Canis lupus familiaris: one gene and its partner. The protein of the gene in region 1 binds, or shares a complex with, the protein of each later gene. Links are inferred from orthologs where the notes say so. Each region holds a gene or a part of one and is shown on either strand. Other genes may lie near its edges.

Region 1 (7,534 bases):
CCAATGCAAGAATAATTTAGAAAAATCAGTAGCATTTCCTAACACTGTCAATGACCAAAATACAAGCAATAAGATAATACAGTTGCAACAAAACATTAGCATAAAGTTTTTCCATGATTTCAGTGATGTAGATACTGCTTTGAATTACCTATAAATTGAACATCCAGTTTTAAAAAGAGTTTTTACTAGACTCTGTTAGTAATAAAATTGGAAATGTGGATGCTCTGTGGTTCTCACCTTGAAAGTACATTGCCATGTTGCCCAAATAGGCAAAAACATTTTTTTTTTTTTTTTTTTCAAAAACATTTTTTAATTACATAAAGGACATTGTCATTTCCTTTAGATAAATCCAGGAAAAAAACCTCAGCTTTATTTATTTATTTTTTTTTTTAAAGTTTTTTTTATTTATTTATTCATGATAGTCACAGAGAGAGAGAGAGAGAGAGAGAGAGGCAGAGACACAGGCAGAGGGAGAAGCAGGCTCCATGCACCGGGAGCCCGACGTGGGATCCGATCCCGGGTCTCCAGGATCGCGCCCTGGGCCAAAGGCAGGCGCCAAACCGCTGTGCCACCCAGGGATCCCTCAGCTTTAAAATAGTATAAATTTCTATGTAAACTAATATAAATGATGTTTATGAATTCAGGAGCTTTAAAAATATTTCTGATAGCTAGTGTTTATGACTGAGAATAGAATTTAACTTTGGATAGAAGGGATTTGGCACTTAGTTCTGTACCTGTTTTCTAAAATTATTAAAATTTCCTAGTGGTATGTTAGTGTTATAACTTAAGAGATTTATTTTCCTGAGGAACCAGCTTGATAATTTATGAATTAGTAGCTACTAATTTTTAATATAAAGACATACTATCCTTCTACCAGTGTTAGTATACTAAGTTTCCACTATGTGACAAGAGTTGTTTCAAGAAATAAGGATATTGTGATGTTAATACAAACAAAAATCCTGAAGAAACATAACTGGTGGAAAGAAATTTATTTTACACGTTGCAAGGCTCTATAGAAAGCATTTTATCAGTGTTCAAAAGCGTTTAAAAATTCAACAAAACTTTTTTCTCGTTTTGCTCATTTAATGGTTATTAATACTTTAAATAGAAACTACTATTTTTCAAAGGAAAATATAAGCAGCATAATTATTTTGAACACTATTTTTGCTTAAGCCTAAAACTTAGTTTCAGCGCTCCAATACAAAGTTTGTCAGTTGTTTTCTTCTGTATAATTTACTAATGTTTGTATTTGAATATGTTTTGACTTCTAAGATTCTTTGTAGAGATAAATCATTGTGCTGCTTTATAATTTCTTAATACAGTTAGCTTTTGCCAATTTAAAAGAATTAATGAATTATTTCATGAGTATATGACCTATATTATTCAGGATATTTAGAACATGGACTAATTTTTGCTCTCAAATCCCAGCTTTTCACTTTCCAGCTGTGTAACATCAGACAGGTCACTTAAATAGTTTCTTCATCTATAAAATGGGGATAACAACACCTACTTCACAGTGATGTTGTGAAGATTAAATGAAATAATATATATCAGCTATTTGTAACAATGCCTAGCATGTAGAAAAGACTGTAGAATTAGCTGTGATTTTGTCTTTTTCTCCTTGTGCTTGCTTCGGCAGCACATATACTAATCTTTTTCTCCTTAATGGAATGCAGGTATACAGGCATTTCTTTAAATTTAAGACTTACTTGAGTAAGTTATGCTCAAATGCTGACATTGATTTCCTGTCAGCAATTACTTTCTTTGATGTTATGCAGTTAGTATTCTTATATGCCTATGTAGAATTATACTTAAGGCTTAAATATTGTTTTTGTTTGTTTAAATTCTCAAAGAGTACATTGTTGATAATTTTTTTCTTTTTTTTTTTTAAGCTCTTGCCCTCTTAAACTTGCATGAAAAATATTGGGTATCCATATGTTATAAAAAAAAAGTTCAGGAAAAACATAGGCTGAAATAATGGTTAAATTTTCTAGTTATACAAGGTGGGGACTGGGTCGGGCAGAAATTCTTAAAAAGAACTTAACAGTAATCTTTGCTGGCTTGTTTAGAATAGAAAAATTATGAAATATTAATAATATTGATGAAGTTCATATATTAGAATCATAATATTAGCTTTTAATAAGCTTTTAAGATTTTAATTTTCAGTTGGAGCAGATAAAGTCTCAACTATAAAATTTTTAAGAATTTTTCTGGAAAATTACATAGTTTTAAGTCCTATTAGGATATTTTGTGGAAAGAAACTTGGAGTGTATTTTAAATATAATCTCTGTTCTCTAGGCAAAGATTCTTATGATCTACTATGGGAGATAAAATAAAACCAAAATACTTATATTTGTTAAAACATAAATAAGCATTAGTTATCTGCTGTAATAATAAATAAATGCATAAATGTTTAGTTTCTGAGGAAATGTTTCACTTTTCATTTAAAAGAATTTCTAAGTGGAGTGTATGAAGAAGAAAGCCAACATCATTTTAAAAATATTCCCCTCAACTTAATGATAAATTAATTGTCTTAACTTCTGGAGGTATTGTGTATTTGACCTGTGCTTGGAATCCAAATGTATATATTCAGGAATATAGTGGAATTTTATCATACTACAAACTTCCCTTGTTCTGAATCTATGTGTAAAATGGTTCCTTGTGGACCTTGTACAAAGAAGTTGATAGGAATAAAATAGCGGAAGGACCAGCTTCCTTTTATTTATAGCGTGGACCCCAAGAATATTTTGAATTACTGTCCCCATTTTATAAATGAGAACATTGGTCTCAGAGTCTGGAGTAAGAAACCTAATAAGTTCTAGACCGAGCACAATCAATAAGTTAATTTGTGATCTTGGATAAGTCACTGTTTTACTCTGGGATCTGAATCTTCTCATTTTCAGATACAATTCTGTTACTTACAACCTTTGCATTATAAGCCTAATGAGTAACATCTGACTTTTTGACTCTTTCTTTTTTCATTATGTTTTGCTGGTTTACAAATTTTTCTTTAGTTATTTCTTGGTAATATAAAGGCCAAGATGGATTCATAGACCCTGTATTTTAATTCTAAAATTTCTAATTTGCATATATCTGTACAGTTTAATAGTATCTCAACTTGTGATTTTCAATTTCATAAATATTTTTGAGGATTTACCATATACTTAGCTGTGAAAACAATGCAGTGACATGGAACACTAAGCCTGCTTTTCATAGTTTATGGCTTTACCTCTTTGGGCCTCAATTTCCTCAGTAAGAAAATTAAATTAGATAATCTGTAATGTCTGTTTTGACTTTAAAATGTGTTGATTCTTAGAAATGTAAGAAGACATAGATAGTGGTTTCTTTTTAAAAGATTTTATTTATTTACTTATTTATTTAGAGTGTGCATGCACGTGTGAGCAGGGGGAAGGGTAGAGGGAGAAGGAGAGAATCCCAAGCAGATTCCCTGCTGAGCATGGACCTCAATGCAGGCTCAATCCCATGACCCTGAGACCATGACCTGAGCCAAAAACAAAAGTTGGGCATTTAACCTACTGAGCCACCAGAGTGCCCCAGGAGACATAGATACAGTTTTTAAGGTTTGATCTATGCTTAATGGTAAGGGCCAGTGAGAAAGTTTCTTCTAGTAGATTAAATGGTATTTGTGAGAAATAAATTTTTTTAACACTGTATTTTATTTGATAGGGATGAATAGATTTTAATACAATAGAAAATAAAGCAAAACACCTCAGTAGCACAGATAAGTAGTTTTCGGACAAAGAGAACTTTTGGAAGAGGGTGGAGATTTCCATTTGTAATATGTGATCAGACGGGCAAGATTTGAAGAAAAGATAATGCCCCTTGCCTGGTAAGGAAGAAATGAGAATTTATGAGATCCTATCATTCTACAGTAGTGGAATACTTAGATCAGCTTTCTATGGTTAAGATCTACTTTTTTCTTCTTGGAACTTAAGTAGGAAAAAATTGAATAGCAAGTTTAAATTGCTTTATTGGCACAGCTCTATCTTTAACTGCACTTCCAAATGTTTCATCACCTCACTGTTACTATGCATGTTAACATTTAAAAATATATTCTTATAGTTTTCTAATTCATTGACACTACATGCTATATTAGCTTGTGCCCATCATTATTTAAAAACATTTCTATTTTTTAATAAATTTTATTTCATTGAGCTTACAAAAATGTCTCAGAATTTTTTTATTTTAAGCCTATGCTTAGAGTATGGTTGAAATTAGTACTATATTTTTCGTGTTCATATAGTTCCTACTCTTCATAATTTTTCTTTTTTTACAGATATTGATGATGCTCAAATACTTCCCCGCCCAACTAGAGTCAGACATTTTTCACAAAGTGAAGACACTGGAAATGAAGTTTTTGGTGCTTTGAATGAGGAGCAGCCATTGCCTCGAAGTAGCAGTACTTCTGACATCTTGGAACCATTCACTGTTGAACGAGCCAAAGGTGCAGTTCCTGTCATTGACAGTTCATCCCGTCATGCGCCAAGCTTGCAGAGTTCCACAGAGGCTTCTTCAATAACTAGATCCACTGAAAGCCACATCACTGATACTCACAGTAGAGAGTCTTCTCTGGAAGTTGGTGATAGCATATATGACCATCTTTGTCACTTAATAGATCCAGTAGAACTTGCAGATTCAGCTTTTGAACAAATCCAGTACATTGACCTTGAAGGAGATGACGATCTTCTTACCTCCTTGAAAGAATATTTTAAGGAAAACCAGGAAAATCATAGTAAAAATGAGTTAGGTAAAGATGCAGCTTCTGAGGAAGTAATTATTGCAGTAAATAGGGATGAACGATCATCTTTAGATAAATTAGAATATGTAGACCAGGAAAGTAAATCAGAAAATATCACCTCTTTTGTTGGGACTCCTGAAAACACTCAGTTTCAAAAAGAACCAGACTCAGCTGCCTTCGTGAGTAGTGTTGCGCCTAACCAGTTAGACAGTTTTATGAGAACCAAAACTTACGAAAAACCCGAGGAACTAAAAAATGATAAACAATCATCAGAACCTAGCTCAGGTAGCCCTTGTGATAAAGAAAAAAGGAAACACCTGTATAGACAAAGAGCCACAGAATTAGATGCCTGTGTAGATGTAACAGTAGTCGAAAAGGTTAAGGGTGTGCAAATTAATGAAAAAATCACTGTCCCACATGTTATGCATACCAAGAAAACTACACTAAAAACACCTGTTAACCATAGACTGCCTCCTGTTACAAACACTAGCAAACTTTCTCCAACTAAAAGGAGCTTGTCTGAAACAGTAACTCATAGAGCCAAAATCATGAAAATTACTACTAAAAAACGAAATACTGTTCATGTTACTTTTAGACCATCTACTGAATCAGTTCAGTTTTATAATCCTCTGGAAAACAAAGAGGCTCCATGGAAGATGAGACTGCGGAAGCTTGGTGGCTTCAGTAGTAGTAGTGGCAGTAGCACCAGCAGCGCCAGCAACCTCCATACCAGCTCAAATAGTTTTACAGAGTTAGTAAAACCTGGTGTGTACAGGCCTCTAGATACACTTGGTACAGCATCAGTAAGTAAAACAACTAAGGAATCTACAGAGATTCCCACCACTGTATTACAAAAAGAAGGAGTTGCAAGTAATCAGTTAGGTAGTCGTAGTACTCTTAGGTCATCAAGTCATGAGGCAGGACTACAGCAGGGCTCCCTGGGTGGCGTTTATAAAACTGTTGTACATGCTCTTTCGAAGCCGAAGGCAAATGTTTCCCCACAGAGGCAGAACAGAATGCCACCAGAGGCTCCACTGAGGGATCTGTACAGTCATGTAATGGGCTATTTTGGAAGGAAAGCTGCAGGTGAGCACTAACAGTGTGCAGAGCGCAAAAGGAGAAAGACAGCACCAGTTTGGCTTAATGCAACTGAAGCGAGCTATAAGCAATCAAAAAGCTTTGGGATGGTCACTGCTTTCTCTCTGTTTGGTTATGCATGCGCCTTTTCCCAGCTGTATTTTTCCCAGCATAAAATGTTTATTTAAATTACTAATTTCCCTTATAAGGCATTTAGTTAAACCTCTTTGCTGCTGAACAAGATAGGAAAGAGGAAGATACAGGAAAATTTTAATGACCTTTCAGAGGCTATCTAAATCAAATATTTTTCTGAGTATGTACTACATGAGCCGTGAAATTAAGTTTACTAAGTCGTTGGAATACTTTCCCCTGCCCCCTTATAGTTTATATTTAAAAGGGCACTGGCTATATCTAATTGAGTTCATTATTTTTATTGATGAGTTACATGCTTTTAGATATTTTCTTGGAATAAAATTACTTTGGCATTATGTAACATAATGGAAATCAAGGTCTGACAACCAGCATCAACATTTTTAGTTATCCTTGAAGGAGAAATTCTTTCTTAAATCTCAAAGTGGATTTAGTTACTTTTCAAAGAAGCCATTTCAAAATAAGCTGTAGGCTTTTTAGTTTTGCATTCATTTGTATAGAATGCAAGTCCTTAAAACACTTACCATACTTTTCTTTTTTCTGAGATTTTAGATGTACATAAAGGTTTCATGATAGCCAATCATGATTTAAATATGGAACCTCTATGGACAGATTACAGAAAGCAAGATTATGGTAACTCTCTTCTCTTATCTTGATTCAAATTTAAAATAACTTTACAGATATAGAAAATTAACTTTCAGCAGTAAGGTAGGTTTTGATTTTGTTTGTTTAACATGGTTTTGTTAGCATGATTAACAGAATGCTGTATAATGCATCTTGCATTGAGCCATTAATGCCACTTGAGGGCAGTATTTGACAGCTTAGCAAAGCCTGGCCAGTAATATAAAGATAATGGTATTTCACAGTGAACTCTTGACCAGTGTATTTTCTTGACCTGAAATGCTTTTTACTTCGTTAGGAGTATAAGCAATACTGGTTTTCTTTTAGTTGCAGAGAAATTAATTTTTCAACAGCATAATAGTGAAATAAATATTTATTTCTGTAAGTTTTTTCCCAAGGTTGAAACTTTGTTAATGTAGTCATAACAAAATCAAAATAACTTTTGTGGGTTTTCTTTTTACAGAAAAACCTTTGTGAAAATAAACCTCTTTTTTCTTAAAGCAGTAATGTTAGACTTTGTAGTGAATATAAATGATATTATGTCACAATTATGGATTTTTTTATTTATCTAAACTGAAATGCATTTATATCCCACTGAGATGTACATAGATTCAAGGGATAGATTCCTTGCAGATATTTTTTGAGAAGAATGGAATTCTAAGTTATTAAGGCTCGAAATAGAAGCATAGAGGCAGGAAGAAAGATAAATATACCAGTTTCTTTATAGGCAATATTAACCTAACTCCAACTAGTGCTTATCTATAAGCTTTCTTGCTGTTTAAGGTTATACTGAAGATTGACTAACATCTGCTTAGTTAAATAAAGTAAATATCAATTTACTAATTCTTAAAATTAAATCTACAGGGAGAGAAATTATTCGTAAATGCATGTTTGGCAAATAATTGATATGGCATAGGTGATTTGTTT
Region 2 (7,534 bases), on another chromosome or scaffold:
AGTCAATTTAGGAAAAAAATGACAAGGTCTAAAGTGTCATGATGAGGAGAGAGTGGAAAGATTAGAAAGAGGGTTAAGTAGAAGAAAGGCAGGACTTGGTTCACCATCTAAAGACAAAGACTCTAAAGAGAAGAGTCTAAAATGACTCCTAGTTTCTGGTCTGAGCAACTGAATGGCTGGCAGAGACAAACACAGAGATGGTTGAAGTCAGAAGACCCTACTCAACCTAACATAGGCTAAACACCACTCATTTTTTTTTAAGTCCAGGACAATCATCCCATCCTCTGTATCTCCTCCCTGAACCCCTGGGGAAAGCGTGTACTGCTTCTTCTTCTTCTGAATGCCTGCAGCACTTTACTTCTACCTCTCTCCTATCAACTTCCTATTATTACTGGATCATTGTTACCTGTGTACACGGCTTTGCTCACTCGAGAAAATAAGCTCCTTAGAGGCCAGATTTACAGCTAATATTTCTGGATCATCTATAGTGCCTAATACTGTGCTAAACATATATTTCATTAGTGTGATCCTTCCAAATCTCTCCATCGTTAATAAATGTCAAATATGATGAAATAAATACTACTTCTAAAATAAAAAAACATCTTAAGGCAGGTAAAATGCAAGAATGTCAAGCAAAAATTCCAGTTACTTAACAGACATTTGCAAGTACTACAGACCAAAATTTACTTCAATTTTACTTCAAATTTTACTTCAAATTTACTTCAATTCAGCCTTACCAAGCCACTATCAAAACTATATAAATGGGAAAATAAACAAAAAAATTCTAAGACCTGGATAAATAAGCTGGCAGAATCTCTTCTCCAGTCTTCTTGCTACAAAAAATCCTACACAGTGTCCCACAAGCCTCAGCTCTTCCTGCTTCATAGTTATCAGGAAATTCACTTGCATCAAACATAGGATTGGAAACCATGGTGTCTGTGGACATTTGTGACCCTTTCCGTCGAAACTCCATGCTAGCTTGTGTTGTAATGGCTGAGGAGAGAAAAGAACGTTTTATTATATTTGTCAATATGCAAATAGGCTCATGGGACCCTGGACACAAAGATCAATTGTTGGTGTCATTAAATTGTTACTTAAATAGAATTCAATAATGCTTTTGTTTGCAACTATATCTTAGTTTTTTTTAAGGGGCTCTCTGAAATCTTCTTTGAAAATGGTAACAATTAATTTACAGTGGTATTATCAGTTTAATAGATTCTACTTGAAGCATTTTTCAACTGAATTTTTGATCAGCAGAGTACATTTGTATATATCTGTATTCACATACAGAGATATAACAAAGAATTTGGCTTTTCTATTATTTATTCTGCTTTTTCCTCCCCCTGTAGAATGATGCTTAAACATTAAGAAAAATAGCTACTGCAATTTACATTATTACCCCAGACAGACATCATAATTGAATGGGCAAGCCCATGCCAGTTTGTATACTTTAGGGAAAGGGCAAAGTAAGGATGAGAAATGGGTAGGGAGGAAGAGAGAGCATTCCCACCACCCACCCAACTCCAAAACACACACCAAAGAATCGCCCAACCAAGCAAAATGAGAATGAATTTTAACAACCACAGACAGCAGCTAACTTGAGGTTGATAAATCAGAAAATTGGATTGGTAGGAAAGATTATCATGGTCATTCGTTGTCACTGAAACAGAAGCCCTTTGAAAGTTGCTTTTATTTTTAACAAAAGATTTCATAGTGTATTGAAAATCACTCTGAAATCTTTTATCGCTCTACATGAAATGTTTAAATTATTTTGTAATAGTTTTAATAGAATGCAGAGTCAAGCATAAATCTTTATGCAACTTCCCATGAGCCATTTTTAGTCCTGAATAAGCTATCCAGCAATAATACATTTGAAAAAACACTACATGCAGAATGCATACAAATCAAACACTAAATCTGTAGAAAAATAAGCTTAAAGCTTTAAAAAAAAAAAAAAAAAAAAAAGCCAAAACACAGTTAGTGCAAAGTCCTGGAATTCATGACATGACCAGACTAGTGTACAGAAATAATGGGACTGATTCAGGCAGATTAATTTGCTTTTGCCAACAATCTTCCCCATTCAAAACACAGAAAAGTATTTTTCTTCCCAAGTGCAAAAACTACAAGAGACAATGACAATCAAATTTTTTAATGGAATTATGAAAAAAATAAAAACATGACTGCAATTAAGGAGAAGCTTCTGGTTCCTACTTACAAGATTTATAAGAAAGAAGAATTTGGATAAAAGATGCTGCAAGATAATAGAAATAAATGGAAACAAATCAAAGGACAGCAGTAATTATAAAATACTTTAAAGATGGTGAAATTTTACAATAAGTTAAGAAGCTTTTTAGCTTTTTAAAAGTTAGATTAAAAGCTTTATGATACCACAAGCTAGTTCAAAAACAGGAAATTGTGCATTCAGATCCAAAATTATGATTTTTGTATCATGCAAAACAATGAACGAAGAAAATTACACAGCTACAAAGAATTGAGGTTTTGAACTGCTGATAACGTGCATTAAAATTTAGTTCATTAACCCTTCCCAGCTCAATACCACTTCTGCAAACTACAGTGTAATGTCGCATCAGTCTTGAGCTAACCAGTTGATCGAAGCAAAGACCTTAAGTTAGAGGTGAACTGCAGGGCAGAATTCCTTGATGGCAGCCAGTACTTAGAGAACCGACTAACAGTGTTCATTCCCCGTCCCTCCGCCCCCTTCCCCCCCCCACCCTGCGGCTTCAAGACCAGCTCTCAAGAGCACCCAAACCCAGTGAAATACCAGGACACTCCTATCTCCTGGGTAATGTAACAGCCTTTCTCATCTCCAAACACAACAGGGGCAAGAGGACCTTCTATCTTTTCCGCACCAAGGAAAATGTTCAGGGTTAAAGTAAGAATTGGTTTACCACATATCTAAGTTCTGGTTTCTATCTTTTGGCACAAGAGGGTGAGTAAAGCTGTTACAAACTCCCTAGAGAATGAGAAGATTTGTATATTCCCCTTAAGCAAGCCCACCAAGGAGGCAGGAGATTGAGACATTCTGGATTCAGGGATTTTAGTGTCAACAGCTTGATGCCCAAAAGTTATACTACAAAAATTGCACCTTAATAAAAATAAAAAACATGACTGATTCATTCTAGAAAATACAATACAAATTAACAAATATAAACATGGTTTAGAAAACTCAACATATAAGGTACATGAACATAAGAAAATATAAGCCAAAAAATGGTTTTCTAGAAGTTTTCATTAGCCATAAGTACATACTTATCCATACAGAAGCACAAATTTCAAACTTTTAAATAAAATATGGAAATGGAAGAATATAAAGTGTCTGAATTTGAAGAAAACAAAGGAATCTGTAAACTCAAACATGCAATCTTGAATTATAGTCCCCAAAATATCTTCATATTCACGACTTTTTAAATTATTTTAAAAATTTAAGAACATCCAAAATGATTATACATGTATAATGCTCATATAGACCTTAATTCTGAGATGATTCATAATAGCTAAGAATGCATTTCTGAGAGAAAACAGAGACCTTTATGGTCACCATGTTAGTTTTAATTCTTGGAACTAATATTCTCCCTAGAGATGCATGAACTAATGCAATTAGGCATCCTTTTCTCTCAACCTACTTCTAACCCCAATCAGAAAAGTGCTTTCTTATCAAACAACCAATACACTCATTAGTGCATATAACACAGTGCCTGGGCATAGTTATCGCAGCTCAATAAATGCTAGCCATGATTATTATTCTCTATAAGACATGTCATAAATATCCAGTATATTCTGCACTACCCTACACTCCCATCCTGCACACTATGCTACTACTTCCAAGTACAACAGTGAGATGACAAAAATAAATCAGATTTAGAAAGGGTCGTTTCTGTAATAAAATCAAAATGAAGATATCAGGATTGAGTTATTAATTCTTCACCCACTCTTAAATAGTTCCAGAGCAAATGGTATTTTTTAAAGTGTGCCCTGAAATAAAGTTCTCTAGACTAAAACCTGAGAATAAGAGTTTTTCATGAGGCAGAAATTTTCTAATTTTTTTATGTACTAATAAGTGAATGGCTGTCAGAATCTAAGAAAACACTTCTTGTGAATAAATTTCTGGTCAAAATCTTTATTTAATTCTTTCTATCAATATTATCATCCTGGCTGACATGAAGGGAACTTCCAGGCCACCTAAGTAAAGCAATTTGATTCAACAAAAAGTGGCTGACCTAAAGTGTGCCTAATAAAAACAGACAAGAGCCAAACCTCATAGACAGACATATAAAGGACAGGTAGGAAAACTTTCAAAAATTTGTTACTGTAGCTGGAAGGGGTTAAACACAAGACACTGCTTGGTCAGAGACAGAAAGCTTTTTAAGATACATATTAATCTTGCAGGTAGGAAAAATTAAAAAGAAAAAAAAGAAAAGAAAAAAGTGATAACATATTTCTTGAGCAATATTTACCAGTCATGCTGCTGTCTCTGTTTATCCCATTATGAAGTTTACAGTGAACAAATGCTGCATCAAATAACCATGATCCAAAGAGATTCAAGATGCTGTTAACCTTTGGTCTTCGAGGGGCAGGCAGTGGCCGGGGTTCAGAACTAGTCTGATTGGGACTTGACAGAGGAGAGGTGGAGGATGTCTGGTGCTGAACTTTCGAGGCATGAGCAGTACTAACCTGTTGGAGGAGTACAAGAATAAATCCACACTCAAGAAAAGTTTGAGAAAAAAGAAAGACTTTTTTAAAAGGTTGGCAGATTAAAAAGGCAACTTTATACAGCATAATAATGGAGATGAAAACTCTTACTGTGCTTGTCTTCATGGTGGCCTTATTCACAGTAACAGCCCGGTGCCTCCGGTTATGTGGTGGGGTGGTACTGACAGCAGTGCTTTGAGGCATACTTAATCTATTCACGGGTGTTGGAGGAGCACTGTCTGATCGGGGTCTAGAAATGCCTTTAAGAAAAAGACAAATGGAGTTATTCTTCATAGTTTCAAACACATGGTCAGAAAATCTTCCTCAAGCAACACCAGTGACGGCTCAGGACAGACTACAGCAGACACTGCTAGCTGCCTCCCAGTATCCATTCACTCTTCCTTCCTAAGTTACTGAATACAAATTTTAGCTGGACATGGCTACCCAAAATAAATAACTACATTTTCAAGCTTCCCTTACAGATAGATGTGGCCATGTTCTGACCATAAAGAAGTAGATGACTGTGGGGTGGGTCTTCCAGGAACTCTTCTTAAAAGGACCAATCAAGTATAAACTCTCCTCCTTTCCTAATTCCTGAAAAGGAGGATTGGAACTCATTTAACCATCATGGCCCATGAGAGAGTACACAAAGGATGGAGAGCCAAGAGATGGAAGAGCCCTGGGTCCCTCACAATGATGGAACAGCGATAGCAGCCCTATACTGCCTAGCTCTGCCCTTATCATATGTGAAAATAATTATCTTGCTTAAACCATTGGTATTTTTTATTGTTATGTGGCAGCCAAACTTAATTTGAACTAATATACTACCTATGTAATGTATTAACAAGTGCACATAAATGTTTTAAAAAAATAGATATAAAATATCATTGCCTTTCAGGTTAAAAATATTGACTTTTCATATTCCTAAAATGTGAAAAATGGTTTAAAATAATGGTTCACAAAAGGTGTAATTTTATTCCCAGGGACACATACCTAATGTATATTAATCTGTATTTTCTTGGATTACTACGGAGAATGAACTTTTCCCTTCTGCAAATCACTTATTCATATCCTTTGTCCATTTATCTACCAAGTCTTATTCTTTTTCTTAGCATTGTTTGATCTATTTATATAAAGACAATGGAAGTGTTCTAGCTATTACATTTGTTGCAAATAATTTTTCCTACTTTGTCATTTGCAACCAAAGCTGTTCATCTTTTTCTTTGGGCTTTCCATAATGTTTCTAAATCCATACTCTAGAGTTATCTACATGTAGGTCTCCAAACATTTAGAAACATACACAAAATTCACCTAAGAATGCATCCACTAGACAGCTGATTCCACGCATGGCACGAAAAAATATTTGAGGCAGATGTTTAAGGCAGGGATACTGATTCAATTCTTGTGGCATTCCGCTCACATTTAAGAACTGTTCCTGAAATTTGGGAGTAGAGCTTATAATGGCCGGGTTACTCAAATCCACGGGATTACTATCAAAAAAGGAAAAAAGAATTAATTACACAGAAAGCCTATTTTTTTTTTTTTTAGATTTTATTTATTTATTCATGAGAAACAGAAAGAGAGAGAGGCAGAAACACAGGCAGAGGGAGAAGCAGGCTCCATGCAGGGAGCCCGACGTGGGACTCGATCCGGGAGTCCAGGATCATGTCCTGGGTCGAAGGCTGGCGCTAAACTGCTGAGCCACCCCGGGATCCCCAAGACTTTTCTAATTTTAAAGGAAACAGAAAATGATCATTGAAAAAGACATTTAAAAAAACTGAAATCACTAAAAGATGAAAAACAAAAACTACAACCTGGAAAAAAAAAATAGTTAACATCCCTAACTTATAAAAAGGGTAATTTAGAATCACTAATACACAAACAGAAAAATGAGACTAGTCAAACCAGAATGAGAGGATATGGAGAGGAAATGGTTTAAGAATTAAGGCAGTATGCAACAGAACAAAAGTTCCATAGGACACAAGGATGTAGCTAGTACAGAGAAAACAAGCAGCAATAAAATTGAACTGAATAGAATTACTATAAAGAGAGACCAGGAAGCAGCAAGTTATCCCTCTGTGTAATTTTATTGTATCACCCTCAGCGACATTTTAAACAAGGCCACTAGAGGAGAGGCCCTCCTGGCCAGATGGACCAGGTAGTGTTGGTCACATAGAGAAGCAAGGCACTCTCCTGTCCCACAGAATGCAACAGAGTCCTGAGAGAGATATCATCCAGGATGTAACAGTAGGCAAGAGAACAAATGCTACATATAACACAGGGGACAAGCTTCTAGAGTGTAGACTAAACGCAGCTGAGGGTAGCCTGAGTCTGCTGGGAGCAAGAGAGCAAGAGGCACATGATATAGATGTGACTACTGTCCAATGTGGCTCCATCTGAGGGCTGTACTTAGCAGCCACACACTGAGCACCAACACAGAAGTTACAGTACGGTTCCTGCCCTAAGATAGGAGTAAAGAGCATACACAATACTAAATAATAGTACCTTAACATATGTAAGAAGCGAAACCATGTCTGTGCTACACACTCATTATCCATTTCAGGAGGGATCAGACTGGCATCTTCATCAGGAACTTTAAATGGAGGAAATGAAGGACCATATGTAAAGCGTAGCAATCTAGAATACAAAAAATATGCAAACCACCAAGTTCATTTCTTAACAGAATGAAAAATATATTAAAATATGTATTAAGCATTAAAATATGATGAGAAATACAAAAGAAAATAGATGACATGTGTATGATACCTCAAAGAAGATAAATGAAAACCCTCATTGATAAGAGACAAAAACGGGATTTCTAGTT

Evidence for each region.
Region 2: RALGAPA1 (region 1) and RALGAPB share a complex: the UniProt entries of both Homo sapiens proteins name them as parts of the heterodimeric RalGAP1 complex. The link is inferred for Canis lupus familiaris from reciprocal best matches to the Homo sapiens genes RALGAPA1 and RALGAPB.

What each region holds. Positions count from the first base shown.
Region 1 is NC_049229.1:14,516,591-14,524,124, reverse strand, and holds part of RALGAPA1 (ral GTPase-activating protein subunit alpha-1), read left to right. Parts: intron 1-4,297; coding exon 4,298-5,845; intron 5,846-6,538; coding exon 6,539-6,619; intron 6,620-7,534. UniProt on the Homo sapiens protein: Catalytic subunit of the heterodimeric RalGAP1 complex which acts as a GTPase activator for the Ras-like small GTPases RALA and RALB.
Region 2 is NC_049245.1:27,541,376-27,548,909, reverse strand, and holds part of RALGAPB (ral GTPase-activating protein subunit beta), read right to left. Parts: intron 7,348-7,534; coding exon 7,216-7,347; intron 6,201-7,215; coding exon 6,022-6,200; intron 4,971-6,021; coding exon 4,822-4,970; intron 4,693-4,821; coding exon 4,476-4,692; intron 2,252-4,475; coding exon 2,216-2,251; intron 994-2,215; coding exon 792-993; intron 1-791. UniProt on the Homo sapiens protein: Non-catalytic subunit of the heterodimeric RalGAP1 and RalGAP2 complexes which act as GTPase activators for the Ras-like small GTPases RALA and RALB.